Linked DNA regions of Coturnix japonica. The protein of the gene in region 1 interacts with the protein of each later gene in a pairwise test. Links are inferred from orthologs where the notes say so. Each region holds a gene or a part of one and is shown in the gene's direction. Other genes may lie near its edges.

The links.
Region 2: the proteins of TLE family member 5 (region 1) and C23H1orf94 interact in binary tests that used the Homo sapiens proteins (3 or more experiments, as listed by UniProt). The two-hybrid records come from large-scale screens. The link is inferred for Coturnix japonica from reciprocal best matches to the Homo sapiens genes TLE5 and C1orf94.
Region 3: the proteins of TLE family member 5 (region 1) and PARVG interact in binary tests that used the Homo sapiens proteins (3 or more experiments, as listed by UniProt). The two-hybrid records come from large-scale screens. The link is inferred for Coturnix japonica from reciprocal best matches to the Homo sapiens genes TLE5 and PARVG.
Region 4: the proteins of TLE family member 5 (region 1) and SMAD3 interact in binary tests that used the Homo sapiens proteins (3 or more experiments, as listed by UniProt). The two-hybrid records come from large-scale screens. The link is inferred for Coturnix japonica from reciprocal best matches to the Homo sapiens genes TLE5 and SMAD3.

What each region holds. Positions count from the first base shown.
Region 1 is NC_029543.1:644,013-649,367, reverse strand, and holds the start of TLE family member 5, read left to right. Parts: upstream 1-1,270; 5' UTR 1,271-1,496; coding exon 1,497-1,523; intron 1,524-1,736; coding exon 1,737-1,834; intron 1,835-3,221; coding exon 3,222-3,285; intron 3,286-3,920; coding exon 3,921-3,965; intron 3,966-4,621; coding exon 4,622-4,684; intron 4,685-5,355. UniProt on the Homo sapiens protein: Transcriptional corepressor. Acts as a dominant repressor towards other family members. Inhibits NF-kappa-B-regulated gene expression. May be required for the initiation and maintenance of the differentiated state.
Region 2 is NC_029538.1:4,085,626-4,090,963, reverse strand, and holds the start of C23H1orf94 (uncharacterized protein C1orf94 homolog), read left to right. Parts: upstream 1-1,602; 5' UTR 1,603-1,688; coding exon 1,689-1,921; intron 1,922-4,219; coding exon 4,220-4,689; intron 4,690-5,018; coding exon 5,019-5,188; intron 5,189-5,338.
Region 3 is NC_029516.1:63,627,137-63,632,586, forward strand, and holds the start of PARVG (gamma-parvin), read left to right. Parts: upstream 1-1,714; 5' UTR 1,715-1,900; intron 1,901-5,184; 5' UTR 5,185-5,207; coding exon 5,208-5,286; intron 5,287-5,450. UniProt on the Homo sapiens protein: Plays a role with ILK in promoting the cell adhesion and spreading of leukocytes.
Region 4 is NC_029525.1:17,035,932-17,041,303, forward strand, and holds the start of SMAD3 (mothers against decapentaplegic homolog 3), read left to right. Parts: upstream 1-1,636; coding exon 1,637-1,842; intron 1,843-5,372. UniProt on the Homo sapiens protein: Receptor-regulated SMAD (R-SMAD) that is an intracellular signal transducer and transcriptional modulator activated by TGF-beta (transforming growth factor) and activin type 1 receptor kinases.

The sequences.
Region 1 (5,355 bases):
AGCAGCCTTTCTCTGCTCACTGGAGCACTGCAGCCTCTGCCCATGGATGGGGCTCTGCTGAGGTGCTGCTCTGGGCATGGTTTCTTCCAGCAAAGGAGAGAAGAGAAGAAGCAATGCTTTGCTGTGGGCATTGCAAGTCAAAAACTGAGCCCTGCATTGCAATGGTGGGGTCTGCACTGTGATGGTGAGCCTTGCACTGTGATACTGGGGCATGCAATGTGATGGTGAGCCCCATAATGCAATGGTGAGCCCCATATTGCAATGGTGAGTCCTGTACTGTGATAGTGAGCCCCAAATTGTGATGGTGAGCTCCACACTGCTGGGGTGCTCAGCTCCTGCAGCATCACATCAAGAACCATAAGCAATAGGTGAACAAGGAACGCCAAGGGCAGACGTGTCTGGCCCATCTGGTGGCCTCCATTGATGGCATTGGTGGACAAAGGAAGGGCACAGGCTGCAGTTGTGCAGGGCCTTTGCACGGCCCCACACTGTGCCCATTTCTCTCAATAGGAGAGAGGTGGGTTTGAAGGGTGGGCTGTTTGGTGGGTAAGGAAGTGGTTGGATGGTCATAGCTTGGGATCTGTGGTCGTGGTGGTCCTACAGACCCCCCTGCGCTGCAACTATGGGGGGGCAGAGGGCAGGGAGGGGACTGTCCCGTCTGCTCAGCCCTTGTGGGGACCCACCTGCAGTGATGCATCCAGGTCTGGGATCAGGCTGTGGGATGCTCTGAGCTCTGAGCACCAAAGATCCTCTGCTATGGAAACGTGCTGATGGAGCAGCCATGGAGGCTCCGGGGAGACCTCACTGCAGCCCTCCAGTACTTGGGGAGGGGGCTTACAGGGAGGAGGGGGAGTGACTTTTACCTGCCTGATAGCAATATGGTGATGGGGAGAACTGGATGCCCTTTAAGGCCGACCCCACTCTAAGCCCTTCTCGCACCCACGATGCCCGCAGCAGGTGCGGGGCTCTGGGACACAGCGCAGACCCCAGACCCACGGAGGGTCCCACGGAGCGGGGTCTGAGCGGCACCGGGTCGGGATGGGTGGGCGTGGGGGGGGCAGAGCATCACGGCTGGGGGGGGTAGGAAGGAATTGGGGGGGGGGGGGCAGCTGGGCGCCCCCCCCCCCCCCGATCCCGGGGGGGGGGGGGGGGGGCGAGGGGGGGGGGGGGGGGGGAATTGGGGGGGGGGGGAGCAGCTGAGCGCCCCGCACCGCCCGGATCGCGGCGGGGGCGGAGACGGCCGTGGGCCCGCCCGGCCCGGGGAGGCGGCGGCGGGGCGGCAGGTGGTGCCGAGCAGCCGCAGGACGGAGCGGATCGCAGCCGCCATTAGACAATAGGCGGCGGCTCGGGGCACAGCGGCGCGGGGCGGCCGCGGGGCCGGGCCCGGCGCGGACAAAGGCGGACGGGGAAAGAACGGAACGGAGCGGAGCGGAGCGGAGCGGAGCGGAGCGGGGCGAGGGGACCGCTGCGGGCGGTGGAACGGGCTGCAGCCTGACATGATGTTTCCACAAAGCCGACACTCGGTACGGCGGCACCGGGAGGAGCGAGGAAGGAAGGAAGGAAGGAAGGAGGGAAGGACGGGGGGGAGCACCGAGAGCCGCCCCCTGCCCGCCCGCAGCCACCGGGAACCGGAGCGGGGGGTGCGGGTGACCTTGGGCGGCGGCGGGCTGCGGTGGGGGGGCGGGCAGGGCTGCGGGCCCCCCATTGGGTGTGCAGCGCTGTGTGTGTTGTTCAAGGGCTCCTCTCACCTGCCGCAGCAGCTCAAGTTCACCACCTCCGACTCGTGCGACCGCATCAAGGACGAGTTCCAGCTCCTGCAGGCCCAGTATCACAGGTACGTGCCGGTACCGCCCCCACCGACCGCCCCGAGCATCCCGGGGGGGTCCGCAGTGCGCCCGGAGCTGGGATCCTCCGCTTTGGCATCGCTGCCCTGCACGGACCGGGACGCAGCGTGGCCAAGAGATGGGCTCCGTGCGGCACGACGCGCTGCCCTCCCAGCCCAGCACAGGTTTACCCCCAGGCTCAGCCTCCCCAGGCCGGTATCACCTCCAGGTCCCACCTGGAGGACCGATGTGAGCATCCCAAGGAGGGGGGGGGGACGCCCGGTGTGCACCCATTGCTGCCTTCCTTTCCTTTGGCCACGCAGTTCGGCCCAGAGTTGGCCAAAAGCTGCAATCCAGGCAGGGAACGCTCTGCTCACTGCCCAAAAGGTGGGATTCTGGAAGGAGAAGGAAGGAGAACGCTCTGCCTCCCCCACAGCCAGGTCTTACCCCAATGCAGGACTCCATGCACAGCTCTTCCATCCCTCCATCCATGCACAGCTCTTCCATCCCTCCATCCATGCACAGCTCTTCCATCCCTCCATCCCTGTGCAGCTCTTCCATCCCTCCATCCATGCACAGCTCTTCCATCCCTCCATCCCTGTGCAGCTCTTCCATCCCTCCATCCATGTGCTGCTCTTCCATCCCTCCATCCCTGTGCAGCTCTTCCATCCCTCCATCCCTGTGCAGCTCTTCCATCCCTCCATCCATGTGCTGCTCTTTCATCCCTCCATCCATGTGCAGCTCTTCCATCCCTCCATCCATGTGCAGCTCTTCCAGCCCTCCCTCCTCTCGCTGGGAGTTTTCCTCCCCTCTCCCTGCTGGCTGCCATTCTTGGCTCACAAATGCTGCAGGGAGCACTTAAAGCCAAATGCTTCCGCTTTTCCGCCTGCGGAATGGCTTCTGCTGACCCAAAAGCTGGCTGCCGATGGGCTCTCTTGCTGTTTGCTTCCTAGCTGCACGCATGCACCAAACCATTGCTCCGTGTGTTGCCCTTTCCCTATTGCTCCCACCTCCCCGAGCTCTGCATCGTGCAGCATTGTGGCCCCCCCTTGCAGGACCCGATCTGCTCACAGAGCAGCAGGTTTGGTGGAGGTGAAGCTGTTTCTTGTTTGAAACATAAAACCAGCACATGCTGCTTGCAGCTGCCGGGCTGGGGAGCTGCACAGAGCACAGCGAGCAGCACGTCTGCTCTTAAGGGTGCAAAGAACCCAAAGGAAAGGGGGAAAAGGCATCATTCCAGAGGCCTGCACTGCACCTGGGCTTCCCCAGTATAGGAGGATCTGGTTGCTTTGCTGAGCTGCACTGGGCACACAACAGGCTGGGATGGACCCTGCAGGATGCAACCCAGGATGCAACCCGCTGCCCTGCTGCTTCTCTCACTGCTTTCTGCCTTTGCAGCTTGAAGTTGGAATGCGACAAACTCGCCAGCGAGAAATCGGAGATGCAGCGTCACTACGTCATGGTGAGGAGCTGCCGGGGCAGCGCGTGGGTGGGGAGCAGGTGCTGCTGCTGCTGGGCTCGTGCAAACGGGGCTCCTCGTGCACACAGGGCTCCTCGTGCAAACAAACAGAGCTCCTCGTGCTCTGCACCCTGTGTGTGTGCTGGGTCGGTGGGTGCAGGATGGACATGCAGGGTGTGAGCAGGGAGCTGCTGTCTGTGTGCAGAGCTGCTCTGCTGCTTGAGCAAACTTGGAGTGCTCAGGAATTGACTTCCCGTGCCAATAGCTTGCACTGGAGCTGCCTGTTGTGTGAGGGGGGTGGGTTATTTTGCGTGTGTGTTTCCTGCAGCTCCTTCCCAAGCAGCTGGAGCTGTGTGCAGCTGGAGCACAGGGCTGAGCCCTTCCATTTGCTGCCGGAGCAGCCACGTGGGCGTTAGGAGATGGGCCAGGCACAGCAAACAGAGCCGGGCTGTGCCTGTTCCCAGCAGAGCACTGAGCTCTCCCTGTGATGCCAGGGCTCTGTGAAGGTGCTGAGTGGGCTCTGGGTTAGTTGAGGTCCCACCTGGGCTGGGGGCAGCAGGAAGGTACAGATGTGGGGGTCTCTTTGCATGCTGGAGTCCTCATCGTGTCTGTTTGTTCTCTTCTTCCCCACTCCGCAGTACTACGAGATGTCCTACGGGCTGAATATTGAGATGCACAAACAGGTATTGGGGGGGGTGGGCTGCCTGCTGTGCCTTCTGTCCCTTCAGTGGCATTTCAGGATGTCAAACGTCAGCACTGATTTTGGGATCTCCAGCTCTGGCATTGGGGAGCACCTTCACATTTTTTCCACCCCATGACCTTATAAAAACGTCTTTTCATGCAGGGAGGGGAAAAAAAAATAATCATTGTGGCCATGAGCTGCTTTTCCAAACCCTTCTGGAAGGGGGGACCCGGCTGGGGGTGCTCTGGCTCTGAGCTGGGCTGGGTGCAGTCAGTGCTGGGCACCTCGTGGTGGAGGCTCTGCTGTAGCCTGGCTGAGTCTGCCTGTTCCCCTTGCTGGTGGTTCAGCTGCTCAGGATCTGCAGTGGTTAATTACCTGCTGTTCACAACGTGAGCTCCTTGAGCTCTCGGTCACGGTTATCTGAACGTGTCCCAGCTCAGCTCAAAGCCTCTTAGCGCCGTTCTGCTCCCTTCAAACACACCCAGAGCCTCTGATCCCATCACCTCGGGAGGGAAATCTATTGGCTGAGCTGCAGGACTTGAGCCGTGGCTCCTCACTGCCATCTCCCAGTGTTTGCCTAAACCAGGTGCTGTGGGTCCCCTCACACTATTCCTCTCTGTTGTTTGTTTCTTGGTTTCTTTTTCTTCCCCTCTCCAGGCTGAAATTGTCAAGAGGCTCAATGGGATCTGTGCGCAGGTTCTGCCCTACCTTTCACAGGAGGTAACTGCCAAACCACCCAACTTGGAGGCTCTATAAGCAGCCCTGGGGTGCCCATGCCCTGATTCCTCCCCACCCGTGCCTGCTCCATGCAGGATGAGCCCTTCAGGAGAGGTTGGAGCCCACAGCTCAGCCCCCAGGCCATGCTGGGACTGGTGGGTCAGTCTGTCTGTCTGTCCGTCCCCTTTGTGGGGCAGCTGCAGACAAACTGGACTCTGTTCTCACCCCGCTCCCGTGACTCCCAGCTGCTTCTGGCCGGGTGCAGGCAGTGGTGGATGGCTGAACATTAAAAACTGCCTCCATATGGTTCCTGGAGACCAGGTTCCTCTGCCTCATTAATTAATGTGGCTCATGGGCTCCTCCCACTCCCTTGAGAAATTAATTGGGAGGGCTGTGGGGAGGGAGGGAGCTGCTGGAGCACCCTCAGTATGATGTCTGTCTGTCTGTCTGTCTGTCTGTCTGTCTGTCTGTCTGTCTGTCCGTCCTTGTGCTGCCCCTCAGGCTGAGTCCTGCAGTGACTGTTCAGGGGCTGTGGGGTGGGGGCCTGTGTTTTGGGGCCTGGATAAGCTGGGGGGGGAGCAGGCCATGCTGTTGCTGCCCGGCTGCTCTGGGGGAAGGCAAAGTGGCTTGCTGAGCAGATCAGAGGTGGCTGATAACTAAGCCCCAGCTAAACC
Region 2 (5,338 bases), on another chromosome or scaffold:
CTACGGCTGCATGCAAGATACGGGGGGGAGGAAAAAAATGCGGTCTTTAAAAGATACAGTGAGGAACTTAATTATCGTGGCGATGATGCGCAGATCCGCGGACAAGAAAAACAACAACTACGTGACACTACAGCTTAACAGAAAGGAAAAAAAAACACCCTGAGAAGTCGTTCGTTTCCCCCCGCCCCCCCAAAATTCCCAGCAACCAACTGCCCAACGACCACCCCTCGGCCAGCAGCAGCCCCATCCCGCAGCACCGAGACTCGCATCCTCCCCATCTCCCCCCGACACGGAGCAGGGCGAAGCAGCCGAGCCCGGCTCGGGGCCGCCCCCAACCCCCGCCCTGCTTTTGCTGCAGTTGCTTTGCTGCAAAACCCCCTTCTTGGGGCTCGTTCCGGTTGCCCTGAATGAGCTTATTTGACAGCTTAAAAACAAATGATATCGAGGGCTCGCAAATCTGCCCCTCCGCCCTCGGATCCAGCCTCTCTCTCGCTCCCTTTTCCCTGTGTCCCCTCTGCATTTGAATCCTTCCACTGCCTACACTGTGAGCCAATGCCAAGAGCCAAGGCAACCAGCGCTGTTACATGAAAGAGTTGCTTTATGTCTGCTTAAACTGCAGTGTCCTATTCAAATAGACCTTATTGTTCAAAGGCACGGATCCAAATCGAAAAGGATCACAGAACAGGGTACCACACTTGACAGCTCTATACATCGCTTCTCCCTTACACAGCCATCCACCTCGGCCCCCAACCCCCAGGCTGTAGCCGGAGATGCAACTGGGTTGCTGCACACAGCAGAGCACAGCCGAGCCAAGGTCTGGAGCCCCGCACCGGGAGCAAGCAGCCAGCATAATCGAGTCATTGAGGAGACACAGTCCCACTTTATTCCTGGGCAATAACGCCATACCTATTGCAAATGAAGGGCTCCCAACTAAGCGTGGCCCCACACCTAGCAACGAAAGCTTACTCTCTCTTTAAGAATAAAAAGTATTTATTTGCTAAATGCAGTGTGATGAACGTAGAATCCATCACCATAGCCAACATCTATCACTGCAACTCATCTCTCCTCCCTGCCCAAACAGTGAACTTTGAGAACCCGAGAGCTTGGCAAGGGCACATAGAACAAATGCCAATACCAGGCACAAACCCCAACCCATGTCCCTTGGACTCTCCTTTCTCTCTTCCCCCCAATGAAGATCACAAACACAACCCTTGGTGATGAATGAGGAACCACAGAACCATTCACACTTAGGGAATTATGCCAGGAATTGAGAGAGTTTCACCACTAGTCATCCAGCATAGGAATGCAAAACATCTTACTAACTACCACATTTTACTCTTTCTTAACCATATCATCACTATTGGTAGGGAGAAAATAACATTTATCTGGGCAGAGGCATGAGTGAGCAGAGCCATGCGCTCTTTGGAGCTTCATCACCTGCGCATTAAATGGAAGAGGCAAAGCTCCAGTACAGAAAGAAGGGGGCAGGACAGCTGAATGCTGACCCTGGAAAGACAGGGATCTAGTTTATGAGAGGGGAAGCTCCCAGCTGTGCCAAGGACAAGCAGATATTTCAGTTATCAACTGCCAGGACCTGGCGTTCCGTGGTTGCCACGGCTCTTCTTTCCGTTTGCCATGTAAACAAAACACCACTCAAGAAGATAGCCTGGATGCATAGAGGCTGAAGGATGCTCACCAGCATAAATGGGTTTGCAGCCCCAGCAGTGAAATCAGAGGGGCCGTTCCCACTGGGGCCATACCCACGGCACATCTGGATCCACGACAACACGCCCCAAGACGGGCTGGACAAGGCCTGCCATGAGATCTGGAAACGGATGCAGAGCCCCCCCGAGGAGCTTCAGCCCATCATCTGCATGGACCCACAGGGACCCCCATGGAGCAAGAACGGTGCCCACAGCGGGTGAGTGACCACCAGCACTGCAGGACAAGGGGCTTGACTCCAACAGAGCCCTCATAACCCCTAGAAACAGAGAGCTGGAGCACAGGGGTGCTGTGTTGGCTTTGGGCAGCCTCTTAATGGGACAGAGTATCCCCATTTGTCCCAATATAACCAGTCTTTTTGGGAGAGCTTGTCCCATGAAAGCCAGCTACTTGAAAATCTGAAGCACCACAAGCAGCTGCTGCTTTTGCTTCCCCACAACATTTAAAGCAAAACAACTACACACACATCAAAATATTTACAGGAAGAAGTGAAAGCAGCATTCAAAAGGAACAAAATCGAAAATTAAAGTGTTATAAGGAAGCTACTGTAAACAGCTGATCTTTACAAAGAGAAGCTGAATTTAGCACAGAAAAAATTATGCCAAATCATGTTCTGCGGGACAAATGGTGATAAGGGAGGGAAGGATGCTCTTCAGATTAATGGGATAATATTTACTGTATGCTCCTGAAGTAGAAAAAGAGTGAAATTTACATGTCCAGCTATCAATCAGCAAGTTATTAGCTCGTGTCCACTTCTTAAAGCCTAAGTCACACATCTTGCCTGATACAGTGAAAAACAGCTGTCGTATCTTTTAAGACTAACATCACAGATTGAGAAAGCTGATAATTCGATGCTTTTAGCTGAAGACGTGGAGGATCAGAAGGGGAAATGCCCTATGCTGTGTCACTGTGAAACCCAGGGAGTACATCTTGGAGCCCTGACTCCTTTCCTTTCCCTTCCATATCCATAACAATAACAGTAATAACTGGCCTAGAATAAATGCACAAAGTGAAACCAAACAACCCAAGAATAACCAGTGAAGCCAATGGACTTGCACTGGCCTACAGCAGCAGGTCAACTTATGCTGCTGAAACATCTTGACAATTAGCACAAGCTCAGCCACGTAACTTGGTCATGCCAGCTGCTTGGAAGTCCAAGCAAAGAGATAAGGTATAAACCACTGTGAACTATTAAACGACATAAGCAAAGCCACCATTAGAAATATATAGGTTCAGTTTTTAGCAATTAATCTAATGCAGTGAGAGCAGCCCACCCTGCAGCCCACCCTCACGCCACTGTAATGGGGTTGAGGAAGCAGATAAGAACGATTTGGGACAACCAGCAAGGACCTGTAACAAACTCAACACCTCCAACTAAGATGAAATTAAACAGCCAGCAAAGCGCAGTGGCTAAAGCACCTTCCTCAGGGTCAGAGAAATGATTCATTGTTCTCCTGCTGATCTTTGAGTTACTTTGGGCAGCTGCTCTGACCCTTTCTGCCAGCAGCATTTCCCTGCATTCAGCAAACAGGCTCTTCAGCAAAGAAGTGCCCTCAGCATACACTCACACAGTGCAGTTCATTGCTCACCAGCTATTCAAAGACACCCCCCTGAGTCAATGAACCTTCCAAAAATACCAAACCTGAAGCAATGAAACCAAATCGCTGTACAGAATTCAAGGGAACTTCCTTAAAATCCCTACAGGTGAGGTCAGGTGTCCACCTCCAGCCTCGGAGGTGGCTGCAACCACCAATGGAGAGAGGAATCCCAGTGAAAGATGGGATAAAGCATTGTAGAAAATAAGCTTTCTTTGGAAATGACAGCAATTTTCTATTTTTATGCCCATAGTATAGGTTTGTTGAGGATTTTAAGGTATCTGTTCTTTAAAAATAGGGAGATAAAGCAGCATCCTGCCAATTATGGTGATCCTATGATTAGAGATAATTAGCTACATTTAACTATCCAGATTTCACTAATATTAGCAATCCATTTATGTACTATATATGTATCTGTACAGTGCATGCACAGAGCATCACTTCCCCTCAAGCTGAGGAGAGTAAATGGATGATACGTTAAGTTATTGAACATACCTGGCTGTGAAAGAGCAACGTGGAATTTAAAGGAGGATTTTGAGTAGGGAACCACTACAAACACTGAGTTGTGCCTTAGAGACACAGCATTGTTCAGCCCTGGCAGCCACCCCACTGTAAGTCCTAGAGGACTTCATGGCTTCCAGTCTGAAACGCCATCACCCAACTTCAGTTATTCCCAAATAGGTGTGTTAAGTTCAGATTTTGTTTTAATTTTCCCATTTTATGTGGTTCTTTGGAGAAGAACAGTGTCCTGGAGGTAGGTTTCATTCCGGTTGAGAAGGAATACTCGAGGCTTAAACGGAGCATAAATGAAACAGAAATGCAAGGCATAGAAGCAGTCAAGAAAATGAGTTCAATCTAATGTCAAGCTCTCAACAGAATCCCTATATTTCACATTCTTACAGGGACTGGTTGCTAGATGAAACAGAGGGACTTGAGAGCATATACAGAGCAGTGATTGGAAACAGAGAAAGAGAGATGAAATTAAGAGCTCTCTGCGATGCTCAGCTTTCTGCTAAATCCACCATCACCAACCTCCTGCGTTCAACAAGCTCTCCCAGGATCTCCAAGGGGTTGGGGGACAACAGCACAACAGGTGCTGGTAGCACAGAGGGCAACAAGCTGGGGATGCCATTGCTGCTGAAGCACACAGATATTGCCAAAGGTCCAGACAGGCAACTCATGGCTGAGGAAAGCAAGACAATGAAAGAGTTCTTCCAGAATGGCACTGTCAGTGCTGCAAAGAATAGCACAGCTGTGCCAGCTCTGATGGCAGAAAGTCAAACTGCAGGACAGAAGCAGCAGCTCCCAACACTTGCCAAGATTTGCTCCAGACCTGACTCCAATGCAGCCACAAAGGCACTGCAGAATCCAGGTATGGATCAGGACACAGTTTCTTCTGTGCTAATTTCCTGGTCTCAGATAGTTTTGTTCTTACAGAGCTCAAAACAAGAATCTTTTGCCCCATTCCAGTCATTCTTACAGCTCAGGAGATTAACTTCATTCCAGGTCCTGTGGGTTGGGGTTTAATGGCCTTACATGTGAATCTGATCTGCTCATTTCTAAGCATGGGTCTCCAGAAATACAGCCTGCAAAAGCATCTTAAACACTTTGCTCACAGGGAGTGCATCCCCTTAGCTGCAAGTGCTTCATGGTTTAATGAAGGGAATGCTTAATTATCTTCACCCTTGTTTTGTTTTACAGTAACTACTGCAGCACTGGATAAAAAAATAGTTATATACAATGCCAGCACTTCCAATCCACACTTTCCCGTTACTACAACCACCACAAACTTAAACCAGCCAATGTGGCCGAGTCTGAGCTTCCCTCCACTTCCTCTATATCCAAACCAGCCAAACTACCCACCCTTTCAGGTAAGATTGAATAAACCCACATTTTAGAACATTTCCAGGCCCATACTGACAAGCTCAGGGCAGCAACTACCTCTGCTATGAGAACTGCTTTCTGATTTGTAGGGTAGAGCCTAAAAGAAACCAGGCTGCTGTCCTACAATGACTGATCAC
Region 3 (5,450 bases), on another chromosome or scaffold:
ATTCAAATAAATAAATAAATGATGATCACATGGTTTTCCACATCTTTTTTTTTCTTCGCTAAGTGGACAAATCAGAAAGATAACAGGCTTCAGCTGTCTGCTTTATCAAGGGTCCTAAATGCGTGGTGACCCATGTAGACCTAGCAAAGCAGTCTGGGAGAGCAGGAAAGTACACGATCAGAACTTGTTATTGGTTGGGGTACCACCAATTCCTTGGATTGTTCTTCAGTGGCTGTTTTCTAAGAAGCTGAGGTGTGTGCATGAGACGTGCTTTGAGAATGGATGGAAAGACTCATGGGACAAGATGCAGCTCTGGCACAGAATTTACTAGTGTAGTTCTGCAGAAGACTGGATGCTTCATGCACTGCTGATGATATTTTGGAAGAAAAATATGCCCATCCTCCATGTGTATTTGAGACTGTCCTTTGCCTTATCTTTCTCTGCATTGTGTCTGAGGCTTTTAAGAAAGAAACATGAGTTGCTAGTTGAAACAGGGAGTGACCTAATAACTACAGATCAATTTCCCATGTTTTAGTTGTTCCTACTCCCTCTGCCTGCTGATAAGAAACTATATTTCAGAAGTACAGCATTTCCATTAGTACTTCTTTTTGATTTTACTCCCTACATTTCTGGGCTGTGGCATGCACTCCTACATAGCATAGAACGTACTCTTAGTCTTTTCTGAGCTGATGAAATGTGCTTTTTTCTGCTTAGAGAATATGCTAAGTTTGTACTTCGACCACTAGACAGAATCACACAGAATCACAGAATGATTCCGGGTTGGAAGGGACCTCAAGGATCATGAAGCTCCAACCCCCCTGCCTGGCAGGGCCACCAAACACACACCTTTACTAGATCAGGTTGCCCAGGGCCCCGTCCAACCTGGCCTTGAACACCTCCAAGGACGGGGCATCCACAACCTCCCTGGGCAGCCTGTTCCAGGACCTCACCACTCTAGAAAGGTTTGGAGACTGAAGTTTTGGAGGTAAATTCTCCGTTATTAAGAATCCGTAACACCTGGGAGTCTGTTTTCATCTCACTTTCTTTCATCCTATTTAGCTCATGCAGAACTATTAGTTCTCATCTATGGTGTGGAGCTAAACACAGAAGTCAGTCCCTTAATAGTGTTAAAACAGACTGGCTTAATTAGCGTGGCTGTCTCCTGTCTTGTTCTGGGATTTCATTGAGGACTGCAGAGCTATTGCTTTTTCATTCTGGAAGACTTAACAACTGCAAGTGATACCTGGAAAAGATGTCCAGGGAAAGCAATGGCTGTGGAGAGCTTTTCCTCTTTAATCACTGGTAGAAAAGGAGAGGCAGAGTATCAGATCTGCTTAGCAGAGGTTACGCTTGTACCAGATGAGCGTCTGGGGCACTGGTGTGACTAACTGGCTGTCCAAGGACAAATGAGCTCATTTCCTTCTGCCTAGGTCCCCCTTCTGCCAGGTAGGAAGAAAAGTGCTGATCTGCCTTATAAAAAGCTTTAAGGACCATGAGTAAGAGGTGTAATGTACCATGATGATTTTATCTGTCACTGGATCTTTTATTAAAGGCAAAGAAAACATGCAGCGATGTGGACTAGCAAACGATGTGGTGCTATGAAACAAGGACAGTACCTTGCTTAATACTTTCTGGCATTTCAGGAGTTGTGAGGATGCATGCTTCCTGCATTTGTATTTCTGTTTATTGCAGTCACCAGCAGGAACTGAGCACGCAGACAATGAAGTTCCGCTTATGACTCTGCTTTCGTTTTCAAGTACTGTCAGTGCGGAGTGGTGCAGCTTCCACCACGCACAGTGTGCGTGCTTTGTGCTGCCCTGTGCAGTGGAACCGAGCCCCTGTGCAACTGCATCGCGCTGCTGTCTGAAGAGCTTCAGGAGAAATACTGAAGAATTGAATTGTAAGTTTGGGACTCTTTCAGGGGGAGTTTTGGTGTTGTTTTCTTCAGCTGTAGAGCTTCATGCTTTCGCATGGATTGTTCTTGCTGAGACAGTGTCTCTTCTGATGCCAATGACAAAATATTGCTCTTTGAAAAGCCTGATACTGAGCAAGGAAGCAAAAGTAAGTTTTAAGCTGGGTGCATGGCGCATGTTCTCTCTCTTGATTTATTCTGCTTTTTTGAAGGCAGAAGTAGTATCACCAGCCATCAAAACTGGGCTTTGTTCCCTGTTTGTGTGATCTGTTTAGAAAACTGTTCGTAGGAAATGTGCTTGTGCTGATGCAGAGCAGGGCTTTTGTCTTGTTGGGACAGGAAGTTCAGCAATTGAAACAATTTGGTAACGTCGGTGAGTGCTTGTGTATATCCAACCGTCGATTCTGATGTTGAGGACCGCGGTCCTCTCACCAGTGCTTTATATCACACATCAGGGATGATGTCAGACTGTGAGAAGACTGTGAGAAGTGAGGTGAGCTGAACTGGCTCACTAAAAGAATGAGTTGGTTTATCTGTTGTCGTTACATTGCAGCATGATGCAATGTAGTCCAGTTCTCGGCCTAGCAAAAAATTCACTCATCGGCACCACGGCAGGTGGTGCAATAGGAATACAACAGCTGTAGCTTTTAAAGTGAACAAGCTGTGACATCTCAGTAAAAGAGAACGAAGGACCGCATAAAACCATTTCGTTTGAATAGTTTACAATGTTAAAGCTCAATTTTATTAAGAAATTCCACTGTGAAATGCCACTGCAATCAATATTCAAACAGTTGTCTCCTAGAATGATCTCTCCTCCTAATAGTGATAAATAATTCATGCAGGAGGCCAGAGAAAAATAGCCTGTCAGTAACAGCTCTGGATAGTGAACTTGAGCGCTATGGGAAGTGTGGAAACTTGCAGGTGAGAATCAAATCTCCCATCCTTTCCAATTTCTCATTAAGCAATTAAACCCAAGGAGGAGTCCAGATCCCATTTTGTTCTGTTTCACGCTGTTTCTGCAGCAGGTTATCTTTTGAAAGGCCACTACCTAAGATCAAGCCTCACAGCAATGAGACTTGTCACAAGAGACTGCTGAAGTGCGCTAATTATTAGTAACGAGTAATGAGTCTATTAAATGCTAAGGAGCTGCAGTTCTTAGCCTCCGAAATGGCTTTTGGAAATCAGTGTAGGTGAACGCAAAGTGAAACATGTAGTGGGAGAACACAGTACTGATTCTACGGATAAGTGATGGGCTTAGAGCAGTGTTGGTATTTAGGAATAAGATCTTGGAGTTTTAATAGACAGTTCTGTTCACGTGTCAGCTCAATGCTCAGCAGTGATCAGTAAAGCAAACGATGATAGGAATTAGAGGAAAGGCATGCAGAACAATGCAGAGGGTATTGCGGACACCATCCTAAACCCGTGCAGTTCTGTTTCCTAGCAATTCAAATAGGATGTGGTAGCATTGGAGAAAGCTCATGGGCGGGCTGGGAAGTTCATGAGAACTAAATATTCTGACAGCACCAAATCACTAGGACTCCAGTTTTGGTTTAGAAAGGCTGAGCAGCAGGGTATTGTAGCTTGTGAGATTGTGTTAGGGAAGTAACTTGTGAACGCTTGCTTTGTTTTCTTTTTCCCTAAGCATCTGACTTTGGGTGCTGTAAGGGACAAGCAGCATCCAAATTATCTCTGATATCGGGTGAGACATTTTGTCTCACCCAGGATGGCCATTTTACCATTCTGACCAAGTGCGACACACAAGACCTAGTCCTTGGAGTGCATTAACTTTAGCTAGTGTGAATTCTTAATTTCAGACCCTTTCCTACAGGCTTCCAAATATTAAAGGTAGCTTTCTGACAAACAGATGAAAGGATGTGGCAGGCAGTATGCCTTATTTTGATGTGTAAATATCCAAAGGAAGTGCAAGGGATGTGCAAGTTGAATATTGCAGTGAAGTTGAGTTGGTAAGTTGTGGTTTATTACATAGGGCTTTAGAGTAAAACTGTCAAAGGCAAAACAAGTGCCAGAAACCTAATTTAAGTTGGACTTGAGTTTCTCTGTACTAATTACCTCTTTTCTCCTAGTTTGTCACATCTAGACAGCCTCATCTTAGATAGTTCAGTTGCTTCCCAGGCACTAAATGACTCAATTTCTCTTAAGTATCTTAGTTTATTATCCACGTTTCTAGTGACAGTGTTCAATTTTGCAGCCGTAATGACAGTAATTGCCTTGTGACTCTTTTTCCTTGGTCATTTTCTGGGCATTTTGTATCTAATTTGTTTGCAAGACCGATATACAAAAGTATTTAATTGCCACTTCCTACCAATAATCGTGGCTTGCCAAGATCAGTGTTAAAATACATGTTTGTAGTGGACTTTGACTGGAGCCTTTAATGAACACTGAGAGAGTCTGCAGAGGAGAACATTAGGAGACATCTTTGCCAGACCCTTCTTCATAGATCATTGCTGGTGGCAGTGAACTTCAGTTTGGTAGGACGTGTGGAGGGTTATACAGATCCCTGCTCCCACAGCTCCATTCCCTGCCTTCTGCTGTCCTGCACTGCTCCTAGCCATTTTAGAAAAGCCTGCCTTTAATATTGTTTGTTGGCAGGGTATTTCCATCTCTGTGTTGTGTGCTGCTGTTCTGCTTTCATTCAAAGATGGCTCGGCTGTGTAGGAAGGTCATTCTGCAGTCTCTGTGTAAAGTACAAATGGTTGAGAAGCTGTGCAGCTAAATCTAACATGAAGTTGAGGTTGTATACCCAGAAGGAAGCTGTGTTTTTTATACAACCATACCAGATGGTCTAGTAAAGGAAACTGCTTGTATTTGTAAGCTTGTGTCTAATTGAACTACTGCATTCTTGATTTAATTGTTCTTAAGTGTCGATCATTTTTATATGTATTGATATGTATTGATATCTAGAAACCGGAAGCTTTTTTTTTTTTTTAATGTAAATTGAAAAAAGATTTTACTAATTAATTCAGATGAAACAATTAGTTGGAATGAAGGCAAGTTTTTGTACGTAAGGACTTCCTTTCCTACATTCTGATTATTAACAGGAAAATTGAAGCTTATTTTTAACCTTACTTTTTTAATACACATTTAGATATTAATTTCAGATTGTTTTTAGAAGTGATCCATAAGTCATTAAATAATAACTAAAAAACCCCAACAAAACAAAAGCCCTTTCAATTGTTTTCTTCCTAACACTTAATTTGTTAGATTCATGCCTTCTTTACTTGTGTTTCCTTTCACTCTGTATCTTTTATCAGGTAACCAGGAGTGAAAAAATACAATGGACGCAGACTTCTTAAATGCATTTACACAACCTGCTGCCCTTAATCAATTCTTTGTTGAGAATGTCATCACTCCAGGTACGTACTTTGTGAACCAAGACATAAAAAGGTCCAAGGAGCGACCCGAAGAGACAAGCAGAAAAACTGTAGTACAAACGAATCATGTATTTTTTAACAGTAGTCTTCTGGCTTCATCAGCAGCAAGTAAATGCTGTGACGTGTGTAGTTTGGCCTCTGACTCT
Region 4 (5,372 bases), on another chromosome or scaffold:
GGTGAGCCTCCAAAATTCAAGACACTCGGGGAATGTGTGTTGGGAATAATATGAGAGCAATGGGGGAAAAAAATGATGGAGAAAGAGTGTTTAATTTGTACCAAATATTGATATTTCAGAAGTTGGTACTGTCAGTTTGGAACAAAGGGCACTGTCTGTTTTTAAACCCCTTGTGAAAGTCAGGCCAGTTGCCTTTGAGCATCAGACGCTGTCTGAACCCATAGGTTCCTAACTTGCCACAAGGCAATCCGTATAGCTGGCTGCTTTGAATCTGTACACACAGGGAATTTTGGATGCTGGCTTTCGAGGAGTCTCCCCACTGGGTTGTACTGGAACCTGGAACTGGAGAACGTGGGTTGGCAAGAGCTGTAGGTGTCTGGGAGCTGCCGAGCAGCCCCGGAGGCTTCCCAGATTCCGCTCCCCATCATCCCGTCTGGGAGGATGGAGGAAGCTGGGAAGCATTTCTCAACTCAAAACCTCAGAATTTGGGCCTTGAAACTTTCACCCCCTGTTCCTGGATGGCTGTTGCGTGCAGCTGGAGCGCAGAAAAGCGAACTGGCCTCGGTGGAGGCACCCGGTGACTCTGCAGGTGGCCCCAGGCTGCTGTGTGCTGCTCAGCATCGTTTTGGGGCGATTTACCACAGGATCGGAGCACTGAGGAGCTGCTGTTTGTATCTGGGTGGGCTCCCTTTCAGCATGAGGGGGCAATGCTGGAGGCCGGGCAGCGGCCCTGTCTGCCCAGCAGTGGAAAGGGAGGAGCTGGGCATTCACCTGGATGCCGTCCTGAGTTAGTGCAAAACAAGAGCCTCTCTGCAAAGCACCTAGAGCTGAACACACAGCGGCTCAATGACCAAAATGTTCCGTCTGAGAATTTCTGACCAGGTCTGGTGGTAAACAGGCTCAAACGACACACTGGAGATGATACAGGGCGAAAATTATTCGGGTCCCCAGTCTGCAGAGTGGGAGGATGAAGGAAGAGAACAGTAAATTGAAGGAGTTGAAACTGCTGATTGTCCAAGGCTGACTGAGCGGTGCTCAGCTGCGTGGAAAGACGTGCGGCACTTGTTTGTGTTATTTTTCTTCCTTTTTCCACAGAAAACAGCCAGGGCTGAGGGTCCCCACGCTGAGGGGGCCCTGAGGGTCGCGCTGTGAGGTGGGAAGGCCGCGCCGCTCAGGGGACGCCTTTCCCGGCGCCGTAGCGGGGCTGAGAGCGGAGAGCCGAGAGCCGAGGGGCCCCAGCCCCGAGCGAGGAGGGGGGAGCGGAGTTCCCGGCGGGCCGGCCGCCTCCCCGCCCTCCCCCGGCGGCGTGAGTGAGCGTGTTTGGGAGGGAAGGAGGGGGTGGAAGCCGGGCCGGGGCGGCCAGCAGGCAATTTGCATGAGAGACAGACTGGGAATGAGCTGGAGTGGGCGCCTCTCCTCGCACACAGAGCGGGGCAGGAGGGGGAGGAGGAGGGAGCTGCCGCCGCCGCCGCCGCCGGAGAGAGGCGGCGAACTCCGGGCAAAGTTTGGTGCCGCGGCCCCGAGGCGCTGAAGGCGGCGGAGCGGAGCGGAGCGGGGCCGGGCTTTGTGCTGCCCGCGGGGCCTGCGCGGCGCGGAGCGGAGCAGGGGGCGGCGGGGCGCTGCCGGCAGAGCCAGCATGTCCTCCATCCTGCCGTTCACCCCTCCCATCGTCAAACGGCTCCTGGGCTGGAAGAAAGGAGAGCAGAACGGGCAGGAGGAGAAATGGTGCGAGAAGGCGGTGAAGAGCCTGGTGAAGAAGCTGAAGAAGACGGGGCAGCTGGACGAGCTGGAGAAGGCGATCACCACGCAGAACATCAACACCAAGTGCATCACCATCCCCAGGTAGCGGCGGGGCCGACGGGCCTGGGCGCCCGCTGCGCCCATCCGAGAGAGTGCGGTTACACGGAGGAGAAAGTGGCGGCGGGTGGGAGCGCTGTGTAATAACGGGAGAGGGAGAAAGTGCGAGGGGATGAGGGCAGAAAATAGGGCTGAGATGAAGAGAAAAAGTTGTGGATAACAGCTCTGCGTGTTGTGGGTACTCGTGGTCAGAAGTTTCAGCGTGTTCTCCGGCGTTGTTAGGGGAAGATTTGTTTATTTTTGATAAACTATAAGCAAAATGGTTTGTTTGGGTCGCTTGCTTGTTTCCATGTTAGCTGGACAGACGAAGAGGTGATTGAGAGCCCTGCTGTGTGTGTGTTTTCCAATCGCTTTTTAGATTGGGAACACAAATGGCATTGCTGAAGGGGATTGTTCCAAAGGGTGAATATAACCCATGTGCATACATACTAAATGTTGTGTTAACGTAGATTTTATTTTTAGCCTTCATTTTGAGCTCTTTGAGCCCATTGTAAATCATGAAGGACGTGTGTGTAAGTATCCCATCAAAGGAAAATCCTGCCCGTAACTTTCAGATCTAGCTGGCCACAGGCGGTGCTTTATTGCTGAGGGTTTGTTGATTTCAGTGTGCGGGGCCAGATGACTGCTGGGGCTGGTATTGGTCGTTGTTTGAGGGGCACTTTTTTGGTTGTTGTTTGAAACACGGGCCAAAGTTCATTCCAAATATTTGAATGCTGCATAATTGTGTGCTTCTGCGTGAGAAGATAGCTGTGTGTGTGTATTCATGCTCCTCTCTCGCGCAAACAAATGTATGCTTTCTTGGTTGTCAGAATGATTTAATATGCAGTAGCTAATACAAAGCAGCATCTGTTGCATGAAGAAGTGAAGCAAGTAGCTTAGAAATGTGGGCATTTAGAACTCTGAAATTTTTCTTCCAGTGACTGTAGGGCTTGGGTTTTGTTTTTCTTTTTCTTTTTTCTGTTGTTCTGGCTTTTGTTTTTTTCAACAACAAAAAAGAATTCTCCTGATATTCTAGTGCTGAATGACCGTGGCTGAGATTTTACACTGATACAACCAGCCCCTCGCCTTTATTAGTTAGAGTTATTCAGGCTTCCTCTTCTAGCTGAAGAAGGGAGCTACGCGTGCAGAGCTGCCCCTGGTAACAAACGTAATATAACCTCTATTTTGAAATTCTTGGTAAGCAGTGTGGATCCCTCACAGATAGTGCCCTATCTAAACCACTTCCCTTAAATACCTCTTCGGAAGAAGAAAATGACTTGAGCAGCCCTGCTGATATGACTCTGGTACTGTGCCTCATTGCTGATGAACAGAGCATGAAGCCTGTGGATGATTCTTTTACTAGCAACAAGGTGTTGTAGCGTAAGGGAGGGAGAGTTTGGTATTTTGTGATTCAAAGGAAGCAAAGAGATGGGTGCAATAGGATGCTTCAGTTGAGCAAAATAATTGTGAAGCTGTAAAATAAGTAACAATGCGAGCAGATGTCACAAGTCGTAAATATTATCACCTCCAGAGATGGTCCTGGAAGAGCCTGCTGTGCAGAAGCTAATGCTTCTCATAGACTGTGCTCAGCTATAAGAAAACCATGCAGGAATTATAACATTTCATACCCACTTGTAATGCAGAGTCTGGATCCTGTATGTCCTAAACCTCGCTGCTTGGGGAGTATCAGCATATTTTGACACCAGCTCCTTTGGTCTTAGTACTAGATTTTTAGAGTAACACTTCCTGTGTACATTTGGTATTGTTTAATACAGGCATTACAAAGGTGCAAGTGGTGGTTGTTAAGTTACTTTGTTCTGGGCCCTCAGCAGCAGCACAGTGAGGGGTTGATACTTAGGTATCGGAGAATGGGGGTGGTGGCAAAGCTGGAGCAAGGTCTGTGACTTTGGGCTGTGTCCTCTCCTCTGGGCTGTGCTGTTTGTCCTGACGTATCTACAAATCTGGTCACCCTGTCACTCCAAATTAGCATTTTCAGGACAATTCTAGTGTGGTTTCAGTATTTTCTTTAAAGTTAATGCTTCGTATCTTGTTTTATTAGTTAGGTAAGTAAGTATGTTGAAGGGAGGCGAAAGGGGAAAAAACATCATTAAGGATTAGATCATGGTGTGCATTGTCTGTAATGCATCAGTAGGCTGAATTACGGTGGAGCCATGCCAGCGATGACTCTGGCCCAGCAGGAGTAGGGTAAGTCCAAAATTAGCTATTGTATCCATGAGACACAGCAAGTTTCAGATGTAAAAGTGCTCAAGCTTTGCAGGAACATTGCTTGTGGGACTAAGGGCTGTGCAGCAGATGAGCTGACAGCTTCAGGTTCCTGTAGCGACAAGGTGAGGCTGAATGCACAATTTAAGAAAGAACAAGGAAAATGAATACGTCATACACGAATTTTTGTTGTAGGACTGTGGAATTAGAAGGCCAAATTTGTTCCTGTTGTCACTTCTATGTGATGAATTAGTTCACAGATGGATTGGCAGACACACCTCCAAGCCCAGGTTCCAGTTGGAAGGACAAGTGGCATACAGCAGAAGGCTGGAGAGACCCTCATGGTTCTTAGCAGAGCTGTTGGCAGGATTCTTTCCTTTTTGTTTTCTTTTCCTGCTGGAGCAGGAAACAATTTCCACCTGAAAGACCTCAGACCACCGGCTTGCTTCATGTTTCCAGTGCCTGGCAAAAGGGTTTGTTAGAGGGCTGTGTGCTGGAGCACTGCTGCTCTGCGGTCCGTGCTGCTGCACATGGGAGCTGCCTGTAAACCTGTGTGTGCTGAGCTTTGGTGCTGGGAGCTGACCTAGTGAGGTGTAGCAAGCTATGTCTGCATAGCAGCGAGGTAACTCTTCATAGTTCTGCATACAGTGATAAAATCACACATTGGTTGGACTATTAAAATATATCCTTTGTAGTAGTTGCATTGATCTTGAAAGCCCAGCTCTTAGGATGGCCATTTTTACTGCTTTTTGGACAAGGCTAAGGATGGAGTTCTGTTAGTACATACCCCATCACATCCAGGTGTTTGAGTTTATGGCCTCTCTGCTTTGCTCTGTGATCAAGCTTAGATCTATTCCAGCTGCTATCAGATGTTTTGAAGTTTTGATAGCTCTCTCTGCTTCTCAGACCAGATTGTGGTGAGCTGGGAATTTGCTGGCAGCAAACCTGACAGCTGGCATTACCTGCAGAACATGAATGCATCCCTGTGGACTTCGTGCCTGGGTGAAGAGCAGTGAGTTCGTGGTGCTATTTCTGACCTGAAGAGAGGCCATGCTGTGCTCTTGGCAAACCATGAGCGTTTTTCCATAGAAATAGTGCATTAGCCTGAACTGTGAGTGTTTAACAACCTGCAAACTGTGGAAGTCAGAAACATGTGGTGAGCAGTTACTAATTTCTGAGAGCTGTGTGTTATACATAGTCTTGCATATGTGGCAGGAGGTAGCAGATGCTTTGTTTCAAGAGCATTAGTGGTACTGTACATTAAGACGTAAGCTCATGACATTCTCTAATATATTTTTCATATAGTTTTCTAT